2 linked regions of the Cricetulus griseus genome follow. The protein of the gene in region 2 purifies or fractionates together with the protein of the main gene of each other region. This does not show direct contact. Links are inferred from orthologs where the notes say so. Each region holds a gene or a part of one and is shown on either strand. Other genes may lie near its edges.

Region 1 (10,707 bases), about 170 Mb from region 2:
AGAATGTTTGTTCTTGCCAATTTAACATTCTTCTAGTCCTAGCCAGAACAATAAAAGCAAGGGTGGAAGAGAACATAATGCATATATATTTTAAGGGAAAAAAAACCTAGTCTCTCTGTACTCACAGCCGGCATACTATGTACATGGAAAATTATGTTAAGTCCATCAGAATAACTGAACTAGTAAAACGAGCATAGCAAAGTTAATACAGAAAACTTAATTGGGCATTATATACATTAGCACTGAACAACTTCAAAATAAAGAATTAACAACGGTATCAAAATAAAATACTTCTAAATAAATCTGAACAAAGTTATCTGAAAAGCATACTAGAGACAAACCTAAACACAGGCGTGGATCAGAAGACTTAGTACAATGGGAATTTGTCACAAATTGATGTACAGACAATCCAGTTCCAATAAAAAACCTAGCCAGTTTTCCTAGAAACTGACAGCCTGAGTCTAAAAAGTAGCAAAGAACTTACAATAACCAAAATAAATTTTGAAGATATACGGTGGGAAGAGTTACATCACTTGACTTCTAAGACCTATCTACAAAATTATAAAAAGCAGGACAAATGTGGTAAAGCCATAGGAAAAAAACAAATTAAATCTGAACAAAAGCAGCCTCCAAACTAGACCTAAGCATTACTACAAGACCACTGGGAAATGAAACAGACACAGAGACACAGAGACACACTGTAAATGCAGATGGGACAAGTAAATACCACAGATTAGGGGGCAGAGGCTCAAACCATACCTCACTTAGGCATCAACATTCTTTCAAGGTAAATTATAGCAGTTACATAAAAAAGCAAAACTATAAGCTTCTCTGGCCCTTAGGCTAAGCAAAGATTTCATAGTACTCAAGATGCATTGTAAAATAAGTTTGATATACTGGACTTTATCAAAATACAAAACTTTTTTTAAAAAGATTTATTATGCATAAAATGTTCTGCCTGCATGTATGCCTGCAGGCCAGAAGGGGGCGCCAGATTTCATTACAGATGGTTGTGAGCTACCATGTAGTTGCTGGAAATTGAACTCAGGATCTCTGGAAGACCAGATAGTTGAGTGCTCTCATCTCTCCAGCCTCCCTCCCCTCCCCCTTTTTTTCTTTTTTTCTTTTGAGACAGAGTTTCTCTGTATAAATAGTCCTGGCTGTGTTGGAACTCATTTTGTAGAGCAGGCCAGCCTTGAATTCACTGAGATCCGACTGCCTCCCAGTTGCGGGGATTAAAGGTGTTCAAAACCACCTTTAAAAGATGGAATTATAATATTGTGGCATATCCTACCTACTTGGGCATTAAAACATAGGTTCAATCAAGGCCATCCTGGTCTACAGAGTGAGTTCCAGGACAGGATATCCAAAGCTACAGAAAAACCGCCCCCCAAAATAAATAAATAGATAGATAGATAGATAGATAGATAGATAGATAGATAGATAGATAGATAGATAGATAGATAAATAAACACACACACACATGTATGTATGTATGTATGTATGTATGTATGTTCAATCAAGGCCAGCCTGGTCTATAGAGCGAGTTCCAGCACAGCCAATGCTACACAGAGAAACCCTGTCTCGAAACACCAAAATAGTAATAATAAAGATAATGATTTTAATATAAAAAACATAAAACAAATAAATAGCATCTCACTATTCAGAGACACTTTTCACTTACAGTAGGCAGGATGAAGTCTAAGATCAGCAGGGTTACAGCTAACGGGTTAAACAGGCACTCACCTTGCAAATCCTTGTGGCAATTCTCCAAGGCCATAGAGGGGATAAAGGTATGGGCTTTTACCATATCTTGCCAAAGATTCGCTGTAAAGTTTAATTCTATTAATGGTATCACAACACGGCTGATCTAAGTAGCTGGGAAGAATTAAAACAACATTAGAAAAAGACTACTTCTTGTTTATTTTAAACTCTTTTTCTGAAGCGATTTCAAACTACTACCCTCTCATTTCTCTTAAAAGGCCCTAACACTAATATGCTACTAGAATCTCTTTCACCGGGCCACACAACAACCTACAAACCCTATGTCTACCATTTGGAAAATGAGAGAGAGATTCAGTTCAATGTTTTTAAAAAAACTGTAAATCTGAAAACCAAAAGTTTCTGATTGGAACCCTCTCTCTCTACTGTTGATACTCTCTTCAAATAAGCTGACTAGAAATTGAAGTGTTTGGAACTGTCTATGATATGGATTAGGGAACTGCAAAGTTGCCTAAATCCAACTTCAGTACAACAGACCTGTCACTGCTGGCAAACATCTCACAGCCTGTGCAGAGCCACCAATGGATTCATTAGTCTACTTACTCATCTGTTCTGTACAGTGCAAGAGAATGGCCAGTGAAGTCTACAACATCTTGGCCCAAATCAAACTTCTTATACAAATCTCTCATGGAGGTCTTCTTAGGGTCAATGCCCTCAAAAGTTCTAGGATCTTTTTCATCAAAGTTGGCGACATAAACTAGGAACTTCCTGAAGCGGCGTTTTTCAAACAGTCCCATTAAACCTGAAAAAATATTTTTTCAAAAAGCACATACTCACAATAGGACACTGACACTTTAAACATCAATTTCATGACTCAACAAATATAATTAATATAACAGGGGATCTAGATAACATGGTTCCCAGGGGCACAACACTTTAAAACACATCACCCATAAAGTCTTCAATTTTACCCCAAAACTTCAGGTACAGAGTACATATTTAGAGAAGCTGAAAGTTTGAAAACATTGTTCCAAAGGCATCTATACTGTTATTTTTCCTCTAACAATGCACATCTGTAACTCAGCCAGTTCCCAAAATTATGAATGCTGCTCCTTTCCCCTCTTTCGGCTGTAAGACACACTCTTAGACCTAATGGGAAAAGACACTGAAGACACCATGAAGAATTAACAGCAACTACCTTTAGAAGCTGACCGCCCTGTGGGTCACTTACTTTAATGAAACTTAAACAATCGGTGAGCTGCTCTACACACTTTTAAAAAAACAGCTATAAGCAGGGCTGGAGAGATGGCTCATCAGTTAGGAGAGCTTGCTGCTCTTGCAGAGGACCTGAGTTAGGGTCCCAGCACCCATATCAGGCAAATAATCACACACAATAAAAATAAAATATCTTTAAAAGAAACACACTGAGCTGGGTGGTGGTGGCACACACCTTTAATCCCGGCACCAGGGAGGTAGAGGCAGGTGGATTTCATTGAGTTTGAGGCAAGTCTGGTCTGCAAAGTGAGTTCCAGGACAGCCAGAGCTGTTACACAGAGAAACCCTGTCTTGAACACCAAAAAAAAAAAAAAAAAAAAAAGGGGGGGGGAATACATGGGACATTACCTTGTCTAAAAATATTAAATTAATATTTAAAAAAAAGCTGAGAGAGAGAGAGAGAGAGAGAGAGAGAGAGAGAGAGAGAGAGAATTAAATCCCAAGCTCTCTTGAGTCAGTACTCCTACTAATAGCATATAGCTGGTACTAAGAAAAAGCTAAGAAAACTTCTAGTTTCACATCCTTTCCCCTCCTCTCCTAAACAGAACAGAACATTAAGAAGGGCCTAAATGAGTGTCTGGCACTATAACTATCTGTTGACTAGACAAATAGGTTTCTGGGACTCCTTTTCACCATAAAAATCGTGTCATTCTGATAAATGAGAATTACTTACTAGATGCCAGTGCTTCTGCTTCAGTGGAAGGAACCTTGTAGATTTTCCCTCCCTTGTAGACAAAGCTCCCTTCAATCACTTTGAAATCCATATAGCGAGTGACCTCTGTGTAAAGTAACATCTTCACCAACTGACCTGAAAAAGTCATGTAATGCAAGCTGTCACTCAAACCTTACTACCAATAAAACTTAGCACCCAAAATTTTCCTAAAGAATTGTATAGCAATCCTTACCAAGAAGCCCCCAAAGCTGTGTTTTCAATGGTATGACTAGAAATTCACACCTTAAGCATACGTTTAAGCTTAATGTTACAACTTGTAGGCTAACAAAGGCCATGAAATATGTACTGGTGAGTGAATTGAGGCAACCTTGCAGTTCTGTATCAGTCACAGACAATTCCAAATATTTCAATTTCTAAGTCTACTTATATTTATTAAGAGTATATCAACATCAAATAGATTAAGGACTACAATTAGGAATCCCATCTGCCTATAAGACCAAGGAGGCTCACTTACCCAAATCAGCCAAAAGTTTTGTGAGACCAAAACCATTTTAAAGATGATTTGAAAGGATAACTACAACAGGGTAGTCACATCATTTTTGAAGTTAGGGCTGGGGGACATAACTTAGTGTAAAAACATTTATCTAGCATGTGTGAGACCCTGTATTCAAACTCCAGAACAACAACAAAAAAAATTAAGGAAATAAAGTATAAAGAGATTCTCATGCAGCAGAGATTAAAGTACACTGAAAAATTACATCAACTGGCCCCATTATTAAGCCTTGTGACCTTAAAAGACCAACGAATGTTTTATAAAGAAAAACACATGCAATAGAATTGTGCAGCAAAGTCCCTGTCTACAAAGGCTGCCCCTGTGTCTTCAGAGAGGTGATATCTATAAGGAGTTCATTGCAAGGAGAACACAACTTAATAGAAAATAAGTCAATTCACCAATAAACAGGAAAGCTGGTCAATAACTAAAACTCATTCCACCCTCTAATGGACAGATTTATGGTAAAAATTCAAATTTTACCTTACAATGGCAAATGGCAGAAACAAAAATGAATACTATCAAGGGCTGGTTGATAACGGTACTGGGAAAGGCAAAAGCCAAATGTGGTAATAAACAGAAAAAGCCTTCTGAAAAAGATCCATAATTCTTGCCGGGCGCACGCCTTTAATCCCAGCACTCGGGAGGCAGAGGCAGGCGGATCTCTGTGAGTCCGAGGCCAGCCTGATCTACAGAGCGAGTGCCAGGATAGGCTCCAAAGCTACACAGAGAAACTCTGTCTCAAAAAACAAAAACAAACAAACAAACAAAAATCCATAATTCTCTCCTAAGGGTACCCAATGCTATCTGTCATCAGTCACACACACTCCTTTCCTCCCTCTTACACCCCCTACACATACATTATACACTGGCTGAAAACTGCATGGGAACTGGGACTATGCATATGTGTATCTCAAACATCAAAATGTTAAGCACAATTAAATCTAAGGTTTTATCCCTAGCACTGCAAAGAAAAAAAAAAAATCCAGATAGTGGGATTCTGACTATGCAAATTTTGTTTCCTTCCTGCTTACTGTTAATGTTGCCTAGACTATACAAACTTGGATAATTTACAAGAATTCAATTATTTAAATTTAAAAGAACATTCAAACAATGTATCTATAATACAAACTATAAAATGTAACTCAAAAAAAGAAAAAGAATAACACATACTATATTTCATGGGAAATAAATTTGTAACAAAAAATTTAGTTTTTCCTTTGTTTTCTATTTTTCCAGACAGAGCCTCACACTGTGAGACATGGATGACTTAAAGTTTACTTGTAGCACAGGAAAGTCTCACATTATCAGCAATCTTCCTGCCTCAGCTTTCTGAGTACTGGGATTACAGGTGTAAACCACTGCACCTGGCTCATTTTTTAATACCATCTTAGAAAAAAATAGACACCACAGAAATTTTAAGATAGTTCAGTCCTCTAAAATCCTGAGAAATTAGGTGATCTCAACAGCTTACACACTAGAAAGCCTTTAAAAGACCATTTAAGACTCAGGCTCCCAAAGTCTCTCGAAGGTACTTACAATGTTATTATATTTAGAATTTTTGTTTGTACTACACCACACCAGATTTGCAACAAATGTTTCTAACTGTGTGAAATGTCTATAGTTTCTTACATACATATATAATATATACTACAAAATCTTCAATTTTAACATGCACTGTGTCACATCATGCTTTTGTTTCTTTTCAGAGCTATTTTCTATACCTCCTTCCCTCCATTCTTAATTAGACTCCAGACACTTTTAATGAAACATATTACTAAACATACTATTGACATCAACCAATTCCCCAGGGCCTCAGACCTGGGATAATGTTCTCTACTTCCAACCCAGATTCCATACAGTCATAAATAATGCTAGCATTCTTTACCATTGGCCATAAGGAACTTGGGAATTAAGTCAACATTCCAGTCTCTTCCTCTCCCCATTGATGCTGGTGGTTGTCCTGGTAACTTAAATCTTTTGTATAACTAAAAGTAGAAAAAAAAATACCTATAATGTAACGAGAGGCTGAGGTATAATACAACTATAAGAGGTAAAACACAAATCATTTTATTTTTAATCAGATAAAACTTTTATCTGTCAAGTAAACTTTTAGTCAGATAAGACTTTCAAGTCTCAATATATTATGTAATTAAATACAGTATGTAACTCGTGAATGCTAAGATACACAAGCATTGCAGAAGTCTTTCCCACTAATTGTTGAATCTCATTCCCCCTAATTTTGCTTCTCTAGCTACACAAGTTAAAAAAAAATTATATACTTCAAATCTAGAAAAGATAGTTAAAACTAGTTCTTTCTAGCTTTTAGTTTTTAGGCTTTACTGAAATACAACTGATGATTAAAAATTGCACACACAATGTAAACACTTTGATAAGTGTGAACATAAGTTTACACCAAAGAATACTAAGCACACATTCACCTCCAACGAGTGCCTCCCAGCATGATACAGTATGAAATAATCAACAATTTCTTTCAAACTAGTAGCCTGTACTTCTCCAAAGGGAAAGGGAGAAGGGGAAAGGTAGTGAGACTTGTAGATTAAGAGAACAGAGAAGAAACACATACAACGCTCAAATCTTTAGTTAATTAAAAACTGATTTTAAAAACCAAAGTGTACTGAAGACCTAAATATCACTCTCTGAGTTACTGGAAATCTGAATATAATTTAAATATCGTTCATTTTCATAAATGTAGTGGCATTATGATGGCATAGAAAATGCCATCCTTAACAGATGGAAGCCGAAGTATTTAGGTCAAGTGCCACAATGTCTTTTTTACTTTCCACTTTTCAAAGCCATAAAAAAGCAAGATCTAGTGGTACATACCTATAATCCAGCACCCTGGAAGCTGAAGATTTATTAAGTAGAATATTTAATAAGCCAAAACTGCCAGGCATGGTGTTTCATACCCTTAATCCCAGTGCTCAAAAGTGTAGGGAGCTCTGTGAGCTTGAAGCCAGCCTGGTGTATATAGTGAGCTCCAGGATAGCCAGGGCTAGGTAGAGAAAGAGAGGCCCTGTCTCATCCCCCCCACCCCCCAACTAGCAATAATAATGAGCCAAAATTTAGACCATCTCCAAAAACTAAAGTGGAGATTCACAAGTAATTCCTACACATAAAAGATGCACTGACCACAGAGACTTACATCTTCCAGTGGTGTTATAGATGCGCTTTCTCCTCCATAGTACGGGTTCTGATCCATGTGAAGAACCTTCTTTCCATTCACTGACATTATCCCTGACAGGATACACTCCTAAGGTTAAAAGAAGAAAAGCCACACACATAACATGCTAAAATGGTTCTTTATTAAAAAGTAAGCTCTCTGGGCATTGGTGGCACACACCTTTAATCCCAGCACTCTGGAGGCAGAGGCAGAGGCAGGCGGATCTCTGTGAGTTTGAGGCCAGCCTGGTCTCCACAGCGAGTGCCAGGATAGGCTCCAAAGCTACACAGAGAAACCCTGTCTTGAAAAACCAAAAAAAAAAAAAAAGTAAACTCACTAGCAGTCTCATAGTAATTAAAACACTTGCTCACCATAACAAAACCAGCAGGCTTAAAGCCTCTCTTGGGTTCCTGTGAGTTCCCAGGTGAAAATTGGTTTCACAATAAGGGCTTGTACCAGTCACTGTTGTTTACTGGGCTGTCATTTATAGTAATGCCATATCACAGGTGGACAGACAAAGGCAGAGGCTTTCAACTACAGCCTGCCACTCTACTGTTTCCTACCAGGCATTCACTAAGGTCGTCCAAGAGGCACTGAGATTTAACTTAATAAAGGCACATCTGAAATACCCACCTTTTCATACACTGCTCGTGACAAAACTGAAGTGCCATACAGCACTTCCAGCTCAAGGAAAATCTTTAGTGCCACTTATTTACAGGCTGTATGTAGACACTTTGTTCTATGAGTCACCATTTTTATTTGAGAGAACTACGATTATTCAGCTTTGGTAAACATTTTTTTCAAAAATGAACATCTTAGAAGTTGATACACAGTGGGTATGGAAAAGGAGGAAGTCCTGAGACGGTAAGTGTATATTGTTGACATGGCCATGCTCCTATAAAATGGCAGACTTCCTCTCAGACAGAGGCAGGGAAATGGCAAAGCCTTCCCTCCTTGTCCAAGTGTAAATGTTTGGCAGTGTATACAGAAAAAATGTCTGCCATAGCTTTCAGCACCACCACCCACTGCTTCCCAACAGATCCTGCCAAGCTTTCCTAACCCTGTCTCCTTAGGCTGGCAATATAATGTAAATGCAGCATCGTTGTTTGTCTGAATGTAAAAAACAAGCCTCCCTGTTCAGCTGCATGCAATAAACCCATCTCTGTTCAACTCTATGTAATACACACCACCGAGCTTCCAGAAAGCTGAGGCTTTTTCAGCAGAAAGCCCAGTCCACCTCTGTCTGTGTGTTTGTCTTTTCTTCATTCCTTTGCCACCCAACTCAGATCCATCCCTTCATCCCTACAAGGATGCAGCAGTTGGGGGCTGGAGAGATAGTGCAAAGATTAAAAACACTAGCTGTTTTTCCAGAGGATCGGGGTTTGATCCCCAACACCCACAAGACAGTTCACAATCACCTGTCCTTTAGTTCCAAGGGATATGACAGCATTTTTCTAGCCTCCAATGGGTATTAGCAAGGACATGGTACACAAACATACATAGAAGCAAAAGACCATAAACATAATAATAATAATAATAACAATAATAATAAAGACAAACTGTCATTTGTTACCAATAAAGTACAATTTATGAATACCAAAATAATCTTGGAACACTCATCTACCATCATGGGGTCCAATACTTAACAGGACTTTTTAGAGTGTTACTAGAAACAGCTGATTCTTTCTCATTCTTTTATCTTAAGATTGTGTCTTGCTGTTATGTAGCATACCAGGCTGGCCAAGAACTAGTAAACTAGAGATCCTCTTACCTTCCCACCCAGGAGTGCTGGCATGTTCCAACACACCATACAAGACAGACTAGACTTTTCATATCATCAAATGAAATACCCAACACTCCGAAGATCTGTATTGTTCACAATAAGCTCAGAGTTCCTAAGTGACTGGAGAGAGAGAGAGAGAGACAGAGAGACAGAGAGAGAGAGACAGAGACAGAGACAGAGAGAGAGAGAGAGAGACTGTGTGTGTGTGTGTGTGTGTGTGTGTGCGCGCGCGCGCGCGCGTGCACTACACATGACTGTTTTAGGAGTGTACTGGAATATATCAAGCACCTATGTGTGTATGGAAATCAGAGATTATATTGGGTGTCTTCCTCAGTTGCTATCTACCTTAATTTTTTGAGAAAAGTCTTATAATGATTCGGCTGTACAGCCTGGAAGTAAGCCTCAGGATCCACCTGATTATAGCCCTCCCTATCACCCCCACATTCAGCTTTTTCCGTGGGTATTGGGAATTGAACTCGGTTCCCACGGAGTCATCTCTGCAATAGTTAAAGTATGAGGTCACCAATGTAAAATGCTCACTTAGCATGCATGATATACTGGGTTCAATCCCTACTATCATTAAAAAGGAGAGGGGAGAAGGAATTTTTTAAAATCCCAGAAGGGATAGAGAGATGGCTCAGCAGTTAAGAACAATTGATGCTCTCCCAGAAGTCTGGTTCCTAGCACCCATGTGGCACAACTGTCTCTAGCTCCAATTCTAAACAACACCCTCTTCCTACTTCATGATGAACTCCCATGGCATATACTCACATAGGCAGACACATAAATAAAAACTTTAAGGAAAAAAAAATCCCAAGACCAGACCTAAAGAGGGCATGTAAGATAATCCTCAATAAAAATTACAAATGATCACTCTCAGGTAAGTAAGGGAAAAAAGAAAAAAAATATCAAACCAAATTAAGCTGGATAAAGAAAAAATTCAAGAATGCAATAAGAAACAGATGAGATATACATTCATTCATACTCTTATACTAGGGTTATGGTCATGAATGCTTTACAATTAAGATAAAGGGAATTCCACAAACCTGTACCAATTGTTTGTGTTCATCAAGTTTGTCCATGAACATCACAATCAAATCCCCTTCATAGTTTAACATTTCCTTTTTTGTCCAACTCGAAGAAGTTTCAATATTACCTCTGTAGTTAATGTATTCACTTATTTTTAAATGATTTAAATTATTTGCCATAAGGTACAAACTAAAGAACGGACTGCATTTTTTTAGATCAAGAAACAAAACATGATGTTCTAGAATGCCTGTCAAGTCCCATTCCCGTCATGAGCACCCTTTTCCATCACTCTTAATCTAACAGTAAAGATTGGTTGGTTTGTCAACTTTGTAAACATTATTGTTTTTCTTGAAGGTCAACTTGATTGGATTAAGAATCACCTCTAGGAGCTAGAGATAATAGCTCAGTGGTTAGGAACACTGACTGCTCTTCCAAAGGACCTGGGGTTCAACTCCCAGCACCCACATGGCAGTTACAACTGTCTGTAACTC
Region 2 (11,277 bases):
GAAGGGGACACCCAGAGAGTCTGCAAATTCCTGCCAAGGGGAAAAAAAGAGATAAGGGCAAGGGAGAGAAGGGGTGAAGGGAAGTGAGCCCTGGCCCCCTGACAGCCAGGGCTGGCCCTGCTCACCTTGGCTGTGGTGTTGTCCACGACCTTCTTGGTGGTGAGATCACTCTTGTTGCCTACCAGGAGTTTATTGACGTTCTCACTGGCGTAGCGATCTATCTCTTGTAGCCACTGTTTCACATTAGCGTAGGACTCCTAGGCACAGTGTCCAAAGTTACTGAACTCCCAAACCCAGTCTAGCCAGGCCTGGAGAACAGGGCTCCTTTGAGGGAAAGGTAGGAGCCCTGAGCATGGGGATACAACTCAAGTCTCCCCCACTTCAGGCTTAGTTTCCCCCCTGGTTCTCTTCCATGTGGCAACCCAAGAACTAGAACCAGAACAGAGTAGTCACCAGCCAGTGGCTGACTCCAGCTTGCAGGCATGGACTCAACTAATGCAAAAGCTACCAGCTGAGGAGACAGCATCTGCTAGGATGGGAGGGTGTGGTGTCTTTGGGGAGTGGGAAGTGGGAAAACACCAGGTTGCAGGTTGGGAGGAAATGGTAAGGGGTAGGCAGGACAGAGCTGAAAAGGTCTTAGCCTGTATAAACTTGGCATGCCCATGAGACAGTGAGGGTTTTCTCAGCTCAAGAGTAACTGGAGTCTATCTGTGTTCTGGAAATAGGGTCTGGGCAGGATTAGATCACACTAACAAAATGCAGAGCAACGGAGAAGTAGCTAGAATAATCTAGAAGAGAATAGGTTTAGACGGTAGGCTATCGTCCAAACTTGATCATCTATGTGACTTCAGATATCTAGTCACCTGACCTGGGTCTCAGTTTCCTCTTTTGTTCAGATAATACCTCCCAGCAGAGCTGCTGTTTGTACGAGGAATGAATGCACCAGGCCTGTCTCATAACAAGTGCTCAATTAGCAAGAGCTGCTATTATCCTCATTACTGCTATTATTATGAAGGGACAGATCTGAAATGATGGGGAGAGAATAGAGGTGTCTTGAGACTAACTATGGAGAAGGGAAGTTTTCTGGTCACACAAGAATTATATTACAAAATGAGGATGCAGAAGGCGGGCAGGGGAGATGGAGAAGCTTGCACTAGAATCTGAATCCTGCAGCTGGTATGGAGCTCATAGAGGCAGTTGAAGGCAGAGAAAGGGCTTTGTCTTTCTTTACTGGGACATCAGAGGCAAGTTACTAACACCTCTGGAAAAGAAGTTCTTCATGTAGGAAACAAGGTATACTAGTTACATTTTTTGTTTTTCAAGACAGGGTTTACTCTGTGTAGACTGGCTGTCCTGGAATTCGCTCTGTAGACCAGGCTGGCCTTGAACTCACAGAAATCTGCCTGCTTCTGCCTCCCAAGTGTTGGATTAAAGGCATGTGCTACCACCGCCTGGCTTAGTTAGCATTGTTCAACTTGACACAAACCTACCTAAGCATCTGGAAAGGGCATCTAAACTGAGGAACTTCCTCCATCAGACTGTCATGTGAGCATGTCTATAGGGATTTTCTTGATTGATGGTTGATGACCCAGCTCACTGTGCAGTGTCACCCTTTGGCAGGTGGCCTTAGGTGGTCTAAGAAAGCAAGCTGAGCAACCCATGGGGAACAAAACAGTAGGCACCTTTCCCCCTGGCTCCTGCTTGAATTCATGCCTTGGTTTCATCAGATGATGGACTATTACCCGATGAGCCAAGCCCTTTCCTCCCACCTGGTGTTTACTGTGGCAACAGAAAGCAAACTAGGGCACAGAGGCCTCACCATTTAGTTCACCGGGTAAGAGCATGAAGATTATTCCCATTACAGACACCAGGGGCCAGTGCAAGCACACAAGAGATGGAACCCATGTGACATCTGTCTGGACATAAGAATTTCAAAACATACATCAAGAGTCCCAGAACACAAGACAAAAGCCAAACCACAGAAGTGGCTGGAGTTAGTTAGGATGCAGAAAATGTGGGGTTAATGGGTAGCAAGGGTGAGCCAATAAAAAAGAGACCAAAGGGATTGGGGTTGTAGCTCACTGGCAGAGTGTCTGCTTATTGGGGGACAAGGGCTAATACAGATAATATTTTTGAGGAAAGAGAAGAAAACAGTACAAAGTCAAAGGAGTCAATCTTGGCAAGAAGATGACTGGATCTAACAGTTAATTAAAGCCTTGGTGATCTGAGTGGCACTTGGCTCACCTAGCTTGTTAGAAGGGCTGGGAGATGAAGGCACGGGGATCAGGAGTATCTGTTACGTGGCCACTGCCCCCCAAAGCAGGAACTCTCCCAGCCCAGTACTGATTGGCAGAAAAAGCAAAGCAGATGGATCAGGAGACTAGGCTTTTGGCCTCTGCCACTAACTAACTTAGCAAGTCACGGCCCCAGCCTGAACCAAGTCTTCATCTTTAAGGTGTAAATATGAGGGGCTTCTCATGAGCGTCAAAAGCTAGGCACAGGGGTGAGTACCCAGTAGCTCCATCTACCAGGGAGGCTTAGGAGGAGGGTCACTTAAACCCAGGAATTTGGGTCAGGTTGGCAATAGAGCCATTTTGTGGGGTAAGCAACCAAGGAAAGCTAAAGACCACAGTTTTTATAAATTGTGAGACACTGTAAGGACAATTTCTGGCTGCTGACCCCACCACAGGAGACACAGTATTCCAGAACTTCTGTTTACGCTGGGCTTCTCACTTTCTTGTTTAGAGCCTTCCAATTGCTCTGTCTGCAGACTTTAGGAAGCAAGGAACCAGCAGTAACCAACCAACTGACTAACTGCCACCAAAGACGGGTAGTCTGGAAGGTCTATAATAAGGTAGCAGGAGCCATGAAGTCTGGTTCCATAAAGACTTCATGACAGGGTCTTGGTAGGATCCGATTCTGTGGCTTGTAGCCCTTTTTATGAAGCAATTCAGCATGGTGTCTACCTTCCAGAAAGCTTAAGGGAAATGAAAACAGGAAAAGGAGTAAGAGTCAAAAGTCAAGGCTCAGGCTAGGCGGTGGTGGCACACGCCTTCAATCCCAGCACTCGGGAGGCAGAGATAGGAAGGTCTCTGTGAGTTCAAGGCCAGTCTGGTCTACAGAGTGAGTTCCAGGACAGCCTCCAAAGCTAAAGAGAAACCCTGTCTTGAGAAACAAAACAAAACAAAAAAGTCAAGGCTCAGGAAGCAAGTCTGGGAGGTAAGTCCAGGAGTACCTGGTCAGTGACGTCGTACACCACGATGATGCCATGAGCCCCCCGGTAGTAGCTGGAAGTGATGGTCCGGAACCGTTCCTGACCAGCTGTGTCCCACTATGAGACAGGAGGAAAAGGGTAGGTCAGCCACAAGGGAACCCTCACTTCTCTCTCAGTGCTGTAGAAAAGCCATACTCACAATCTGAAGTTTGATGGTTTTGCCATCCAGTTCAATGGTTCGAATCTTGAAGTCCACCCCGATAGTGCTGATGTAGCTCTCTGTGTATGTGTCATCCTGAAAGGTTGGGGCCAGTCAAATAGCCTGAACAGACAGGCCCAAAAACTATTTGAAAGTCCTCCCTCCAGCTCCCTACCCCTGTTGTGCTCCTCACTGCCAAGTCTTAGTTCTAAGCACCCCAACTTTCGAGGCCTGGGCCCTTCTTCTGGCAGCTCCGGCAACCTCATTCTTGGTTCTCAGGTCTTTCTTGCAACTACTGTGTTCTGAGTTGTCCCTCTTTCCTCCCAGTGGCCAGCTAGGACCCCAGGTGGATATCATGGGGGTGCTTCTTACTCACAGCAAACCGCAGGAGCAGGCACGACTTGCCCACACCCGAGTCACCAATCAAAAGCAGCTTGAACAGGTAGTCACTGGCAAGAGAAGATGGGAAGGTATGAAGGCAGGCAAGAAGTTCCCTCTGCCACCCCTGCCCCTGCAGTGAGCATGACAGTACAGGGAAGCATGCTTCTGCTTAGTATGTCATGGTGCTCACTAGATCCTCCCACTGTCCTGAAAAGGGACAAAAAATAGACCCTTACTATCCCCAATAAGCTAGCCCACAACACCTTCAGCTTGCTATGTCTGAATTCTCACTTTGTGGCAAAATAAAGGAACACAATTTACCAAGGAACAACCAGCTGGGTGCCAGAGCTGAGACTCTGGTGCTGTTTTGTAGGAATTATTTAGGAAACCCACACTAGGCCTTATAGTGTGCCAGCCTAGGACCCTAAAATGAATGCTGGAACACATGAAGTCAAAACAAGTGTGAAAGAGCCTGAGATGAAGTCACTAATAAGAGGCAGTCAACAAGTGACCATGGAGGCAGCAGTTAATACTTCCTGAACTGTAACTGGTCCTGTGTGAAGTCCTTTAAATACATCGTCTCATTAAAACCTCACAACAGTGCAACCAAGTGAGGAAACCACAGGTCAGAGAAGGGAAATAAATGACTTACCCTAAGCAGTGGCTAACTGTGAGACTGGAGACTAGGTCTGTCAGACTCTGTGACAGCCTGAGCCTCCCTTCTCTGTTCCCCTCCTAACCCTGATGAGCTTCACCCTCTCTCAAGGAAATCTGAGGCCTAGAGCTGGGGAAGAAAAAGGAAGCGGGGAAGGGGAAGAAGACAACACGGGTGCAAAACTGTATGTGGGCCATCTACTCCAAGGGTTTGAGTTTGAGGAATAAAAATCCCACTCCAAGCGAGCTAGCAAATCCCACACCTAAAGTTCTCTGGCAGTGTGACAGGTGAGGGAAGCCGCGTGACAGTGGCACTGGAGGCCTGAGCAAAGGTGAGAGGGCAGAAAAGGACGGACACGGGAGCCACAGGATAGTGCGACCCAGGCAGGGCAAATGTCAGCCCCAGAGGTTAGGACCTGCAGGGATGTGAATCAAGCAGGGGCTTGGGCTCCCCTTGTCTGGTCAGCTTCTGTCTGGGCCAGCCCGGAAAACCGGCCTCAGAAGAAAGTTAAAGGCAGAGTGGTTCACGGCCAATCTGAAAGTACTCGACTCTGGGGACCAGAAATTATTACGATGGACTCCAAACCGCCTGCCCGTGGTCAAGCAGCGGTGGGGAAACTGAGGCTCAGGGAGACCAATCTGCAGGGTCACAACCGAAAAGGCCTGGGAGGGCCGGCGCTGCGGGCTCCAAGTGCTGCCCTTCGAGGCTGTCGCCTCCGGGCCTTGACTGAGAGAACTCGGGGTGTTGAGCCGGGGTCCAGGGGTTCCCGGGGGGAGGGGCAGGACCCGGATGTAGGGGGGGGGTCAGCGGAAGAGGGACCCGGATGTGGGGTCCGCCGCGCAGTTCTGACCAGGGCCAGACAACTTCGATAAGCATACAGCCCCATAGACATGATCGAGGCTGCGCCACACAGCGCGGGCGGGGCTCACTCACTATTCGGGGTTCATGGCGGCAGCGGTGGCCCGCTCGGTCGCTCCCAGTCGGCTCTGCTCCGCCTCCCGTTCCAAGATGGTGGCCGCGCTGCCCTAGAGACCCCGCCCGCGCCGCGCAGGCGCAAACACTTCCGACTCCAGTTGCCCCGCGCTGCCTTGTGGAACCTGTAGTCTCCTAGATACTCGATTTGCCACTGCTGCGCAGGCGCAACCCAGTCAACCAACACGGCCGTGCGCTCCAGTCGCAACCCGCGAACTGCCTTCTGGGGTCTGTAGTCTTCTCAATCCCTGAACGACCTGCGGCGGTATCTTGGACAATCCGCAGGTTAGAACCATACCGGGGTAGGTATGGTTTTGTTCAACTGAGATGGGCAGCCACCCTCTTGGTTTGCAGATTGAAAACATTGAACGAGATGGCACGACGTATTTAGGACCAGAAAAACTTGAATTATAAGCGTTCTTCGTGGGATGGGACTGTCATCACTAATATCACATGCATGAAAAATCATCTCGAGACACTCATTCAGTCCAAGAACATATTGTGGGGTAGAACTCAAAGACGGAACTATCTATAACCCCGTAAGGGCATGCTTTAGGAGAACCCCCAAATCTGTAGCATTTCCTCGTACAATTCAGGATAAGGGCAGAATGTCACGTCCAGTCTCAAGGGACAGGGCATGATGTGTGTGTCCCTCACTCCACCAGATTCCACCCCACCCTAGGGGATGCTCAGGGGTTCTGAGCCTTCTCAAAACAAGCCTGGCTCAGATTCAAATCGTCTTTATTTCTACAGCAACATCTGAAAATAGAGAGCGCGATTGCCTCACCCATCAAATGGGGTAGCCCCTCCTACTGCGGGGGTACGTGGAGGGGACATTGGAAGCTGAGGCAAGGAAGGCGTGGCAGGATGGCTCAATGGGCCGTGCCCAGGGTGGGGTCAGGCCATGCCTGGGCGGGGCGGAGGCAGGGAGCAAAGGACGGTGCATAAGTCCGGGAGGCAACACAGGGCCCGGTGTTGTGGGAGTCCGGGCATCTGCAAGGTTGGGTAGAGCACATCCCTCCAAAACCAGGATGGCAAGGAGATCGGGAACCCTTTCAGGAGGTTCTGCTCCTAGAACTTGGAGCTTGGGAGATACCACCACTCGGAACAGGGGTGATTTAAGGCCTGGGCGGTACCACTGGAGAAGGGAGAGGCAGGTGGTGGCCCGGGAATACCGTGGACTGAAGGGAGGAGGGCTGAGAGGATGACATGGCCAATAACTTATTTCTCTATATACAGAAGCAACGGCCGAGGGCTGGGGGAGTCAAAGATGCTAAAGGACAGCAAGTACTTAAGTGTTCTTGGCTTTGGAGGATGGGTAGGCAGGCCACCACTCCCACAGGCCCTGAATGTAGGGAAGAGAGGCCCCCTGCTGGAAGGAATAAATAAGGAGTAGAGTTGGGGTGGGCAGGCCCGGCCTCCAGGGCCCTGGCTGAGATGACAAGGGAGGTTACCCTGAGATTGAACAGAAAAGACAGGGGTCCTTGGGAGGGGCAGGCAGGACAAGCAGCAGGCCCATGCGCAGGGCTGGGGTAAGGGGTCGTGTCAGATGAAGGCTAGAGACAGGCTGCCCCTTCAGCTTTAGCCCACGAGGGAGTTTCTTCGGGAGAGGTCCATGGAGCTGGAGCTCAGAGTGCGGCTGTCGGAGAGGCCCGTGCCTCCAGGCTGTGGGCAGAGTAGAGAGGGCATGTAGCTTAGACATGGTAACTGGGAGTGAAGAGAAGGGAGAGGAAGGGAGACACAGACGAGTGTGGGATGATGAAAAGGATTGACCAAGTCCTGGTGTAAATACAGCGAGTTGAAGTTTAGCTCACACCTAGGGCCTGAGAGTTCAAGCTGGTACTGGCTGACTATATATATCTGCCCCAGGACAAGGGCTATGTTCCCCTTTACCTGCCTGCCCCTAGTTGTTTCTACCTATATCCTCCCAGCCTAAATTGGGCTGTTGCTGGATGAAGACTCACCAGATAAAAGTTGGGTGGGGACATACATAGACCAAGGGGCCAGAACTATGGGGTGGGGGCCTGGGTCTAGACTGCCTAAGGCCAGATGCCCTCCACTCTTACCTGAACTGGCTCTTCCACACTCTTGTTAAGGAAGTTGAGAGAGCTAGCCCTCTTCATCCTGAGGGAAAAGGAGGACCAGGATTTGTTCATGGTGAAACAGTGAAGGGACACCAGGTTGAGTCTTGGGGGCAGAATAAAGCAGACGTGGTGGTAGTGTTTCCTGAGAGGGAGTGATGTCACGTGGGAGCCAACAGGATACAATCAGGGACAGAAACTCACCTAGAATTAGGGGGCTCCTGTGGGCCACCCCCCTGCAGCTTCCTCACCAGCATCTCACTGCTACGTCTCAGGGCATCCCTGAGCTTCCCGAAGGACCCACTGCGCCGCAGAGAGCCACTGCCATCCTGTGGGGGAAGAATTGTCTCTAGGCCCTGCTTTCTTCGTAGTCTTAGAACCTATCTTAGTCCCACACTCACCCCACTCCACTCAGCGGCAGGCCCTGACTCCTCCAGGTCAGACTCAGACCGAGGCCCAGCACCCCCAGACACATCTCGGCTGCCACGGCGGTCTCCTCGTCCACCACTACCATCTTTTAGTAGCTCTACCACCTTGGTCTGGCTGGCAGGATCCAGGCCCTGAAAGGGGGCAGGAAGCATCAGGCCCTGACTGCAGCACAGGGAGCCTCAAAGATCCCAATTCACCATCCTCCACCTTGGAGCCCCACCTGCTTGCGGCTTCGACTGGCACAATCTTCCAGTGTGTGTGCAGCTTCCAGCTTGCCCTGGCGCCGGTACAAGGCTCCCAAGCTTCGCAGAGTAGTGTTGACTGTGGGACTGTGGACAGATAGCAGGAAGTCTCAAACTCTACCCAGCAAGCAGCCCACATGGGGCTCTGGGGACCAAAAAGGCCTCCAGAATCTGGCCTTTCCTATTCATCTGCCCCTGTGGTAGAACCATCTTGAGAGAACCATTCTAGTGCTAGAAACCTGGCTTGGCCCTAGAGTTCTCCTAGGACATTGCCACCAGGACCAGAAGCTGGGAGACCCTGGAATGAGTGAACCAAGCTTTCCCAGTGCAGAAAGTCTTCTTGGGTTCAGGCCATGAGAGATGAGCTAACAGAAGAGAGGTGTCTCAGAGACGAAGGATAGTGTGAGGCCTGGGTCTCACTGACCAAGGACACTACTTCCTTGGTCCTCACTTTACCCCTAACCCAGACCTATCAGCCCTCACCTGTCAACTTTACAGGCTTTGTACCAGCTGCCATATTCCCCATAGGGGGCGTTGTCCCGGCGCTTATCCTGGGGGAAAGACCAGTCAGTTAGGGAGCTCCATACATCCCAGCCTCACACCCTCTGCACACTTGGAAGCTCTGCTCACAGCGCTACTCACTTTGCTCTCCTCTCGTTCCTCTGCATGCATCCAGATGGGCTTGTTCTCTCCTAGGAAGAACAGGGGACTGTCACCTGCCTGCCACATAGGTCTTTCCAATTGGGCTAGCTAGACAAGGGACTAATGTCTGGGGAAGGGGACAGGAGTATGTAGAAAGGACCAGGATTGGGTTTTGTTGAATAGATGAACAAGCAGCAAACCCAAACCCAAAACATTACTGACCCTCCTCTGTACCCAGATGAACAGGCCGCAGGTCTGTGTCAAATGGCGATAAATGAGGTGGGGTTAGGAGTGATATGGCAGGCCCTTGTACACCTTAAACCAGAGACTGGTGATACACTTGAATGAGGGGCCAGGCTGAGGGATGGGCATCAGGAAATGGCTAGTAATATGGGGCCAGAGGCTACTTCTGAGAAGGAAAGACACTTGGGCCTCAAAGTGAACAGGAATTGTCATGTGGAGAAAGGTGGAGAATGTACATAGTGGCACACACTTTTAATCCCAGCACTTGAGAGGCAGAGGCAGTGAACCTCCATGAGTTCAAAGCCAGCCTGATCTACATAGTTGAGTTTCAGTACAGCCAGAGCTATATATTGAGACTCTGTCTCAAAACAAAATAAACAAACAAAAACAAACAAAAAACAAAAGCAGGGGAAAGAGAAAGGAGGAGACTCAGCATGGGGTTTGCCAATTTGTCTGGCCAGGGCAATGAATTAAGTGAGTGGGCTCCTGCAGGCACCACCCACAGGTGAGGCTGGGCTTCCTGCCAGAGTCTGGGCAGGAAGGTCTGTAAGGCCAAGTACTGTCCTGGGTGCTTCTGCTGAATGAACTGGAGGCACATGGAAGCCATGGACTCACCATTGACAGAGCCAAACTCCTTCTCATGAGCACGGGTAAGGATCTCCTTGTACAGGGTCTCTGCATCCTGGTACTTGCCCTGTTTCAGGTAGCAGGAAGCCTGGAAAGTAAAGACAGTGGGTAAGCAGCATGCAGGAAGCTTAGTTTTCCTTTTCCTTCCTCCTGGATATCAGCCCTCTCTCCCTGCCTCCTCCTTTTCTAGCCCCCAGCCCAGCCTCAGAGCACCAGGTTGTTCTTGGTCTTCGCCACATTGGGGTCATCAGGCCCAAGGCGTGTGGCATAGATCTCCAGGGCCCTCCGGTAGTAGTATTCCACCTCCTCAGCTTTGCCCTGGTTCTGGCACAACAAGGCCAGGTTGCTGAGCTGCTTGGCCACGTCTGGGTGAAACTTGCCCAGGACCTGGGAAGAGTCAGTGGCGGGGGTCAGAGCTGTTCCGACTACTCTGTCTAGCCAGTACCCCTAAGCCCTATCTGCTCTTACCTTCTCCCGGATCTCCAGTGCTCGCTTGCACAATGGCTCAGCCTCTTTGTATTTGCCCCGCTTGCCATACAGAACAGCCAGATTATTCAGGGTTGCAGCCACCTGGGTGTAAGAGAATGGAAGTGTTTTCATTCAGAGCCGTTCATTAATAGGCAGGAACTCTGGAACTTGTGAGGAGTGGAGGGCAACACTCAATCCAATTCTTACTTACAGCTGGGTGGTCCTTGCCCAGTGTCTTCTCCCGGATAGCCAGGGCATCATTGAGCAGGTGGGCCGCATCCTTGTACTTGTTCTGGTCCCTGGGAGCAGGCAGGACATTCAGGGATGTCCTCTAGCCCGAAGCCTGCCCCCAGGGGCCCGTAGTCCCCGTAGGCACTCCTCCTGAGGTCACTGATGAGTGGACACGATAGGAGTGCAACTCAGAGCATGGGAGGCCTGGATAGCCCTACCCTTGAGCGCTCTGGGGGCATTAGACAGTTTATCACAAATCACTAAGACCCACCTCATACCCAAACCCCTAAGCAACACTCAACTTTAAGTGACCCCTAGTGCCTTGGCTCATTTGTCACTTTCTGCCACAGAAACCCTGTAACCCATTATGAGTTCTGGGCCAATTTATGTTCCCACCCCACCTTTCTTTATTTTTTGGGGGGGTTCGAGACAGGGTTTCTCTGTGTAGCTTTGGAGCCTGTCCTGGAACTCACTCTATAGACCAGGCTGGCCTTGAACTCAGAGATCCGCCTGCCTCTGCCTCCCAAGTGCTGGGATTAAAGGTGTGTGCCACCAACACCCCACTTTTCTTCCCTTATCTTTTCCCTCTCTTTCTAGGGTCTCATGTATCCTAGGCTTGCCTTGAACTAGCTGTGTAACCAATTCCTGACTGTTTTGCTTCTACCCATTAAGTGCTGAGATTATAGTGTGTACTACCACACCTGGCTTCCAACTCACATTTCAAAGCCCATACTCAAGCCTGGATGCCTAGAGGAGCTGTGCTGACTCCCAGTGACCCTGGCGTTTTCATGTGTTACCTTGCTGTTGTTCACAGCCAACCTTTCCTTAAAACTCTTAACAAGTTTATTTCCAACTGGAGGCCAGATCTACATATGCAGGCCCTTCTTTCTCTG

What was found.
Region 1: the proteins of Rab1b (region 2) and Gdi2 purify together in Homo sapiens (affinity purification with mass spectrometry; 3 studies listed by BioGRID and IntAct, counting the BioPlex papers as one, with this or other methods). This does not show direct contact. The link is inferred for Cricetulus griseus from reciprocal best matches to the Homo sapiens genes RAB1B and GDI2.

What each region holds. Positions count from the first base shown.
Region 1 is NC_048596.1:228,625,058-228,635,764, reverse strand, and holds part of Gdi2 (rab GDP dissociation inhibitor beta), read right to left. Parts: intron 7,495-10,707; coding exon 7,387-7,494; intron 6,209-7,386; coding exon 6,109-6,208; intron 3,806-6,108; coding exon 3,671-3,805; intron 2,525-3,670; coding exon 2,326-2,524; intron 1,879-2,325; coding exon 1,747-1,878; intron 1-1,746. UniProt on the Homo sapiens protein: GDP-dissociation inhibitor preventing the GDP to GTP exchange of most Rab proteins. By keeping these small GTPases in their inactive GDP-bound form regulates intracellular membrane trafficking.
Region 2 is NC_048596.1:54,177,444-54,188,720, reverse strand, and holds the start of Rab1b (ras-related protein Rab-1B), read right to left. Parts: upstream 5,535-11,277; 5' UTR 5,397-5,534; coding exon 5,383-5,396; intron 3,863-5,382; coding exon 3,790-3,862; intron 3,510-3,789; coding exon 3,414-3,509; intron 3,332-3,413; coding exon 3,236-3,331; intron 258-3,235; coding exon 126-257; intron 31-125; coding exon 1-30. Other genes in the region: Klc2 (kinesin light chain 2), read right to left, coding at 7,003-7,086, 7,488-7,545, 7,707-7,831, 7,904-8,062, 8,152-8,260, 8,657-8,724, 8,816-8,865, 9,674-9,773 and 3 more. UniProt on the Homo sapiens protein: The small GTPases Rab are key regulators of intracellular membrane trafficking, from the formation of transport vesicles to their fusion with membranes.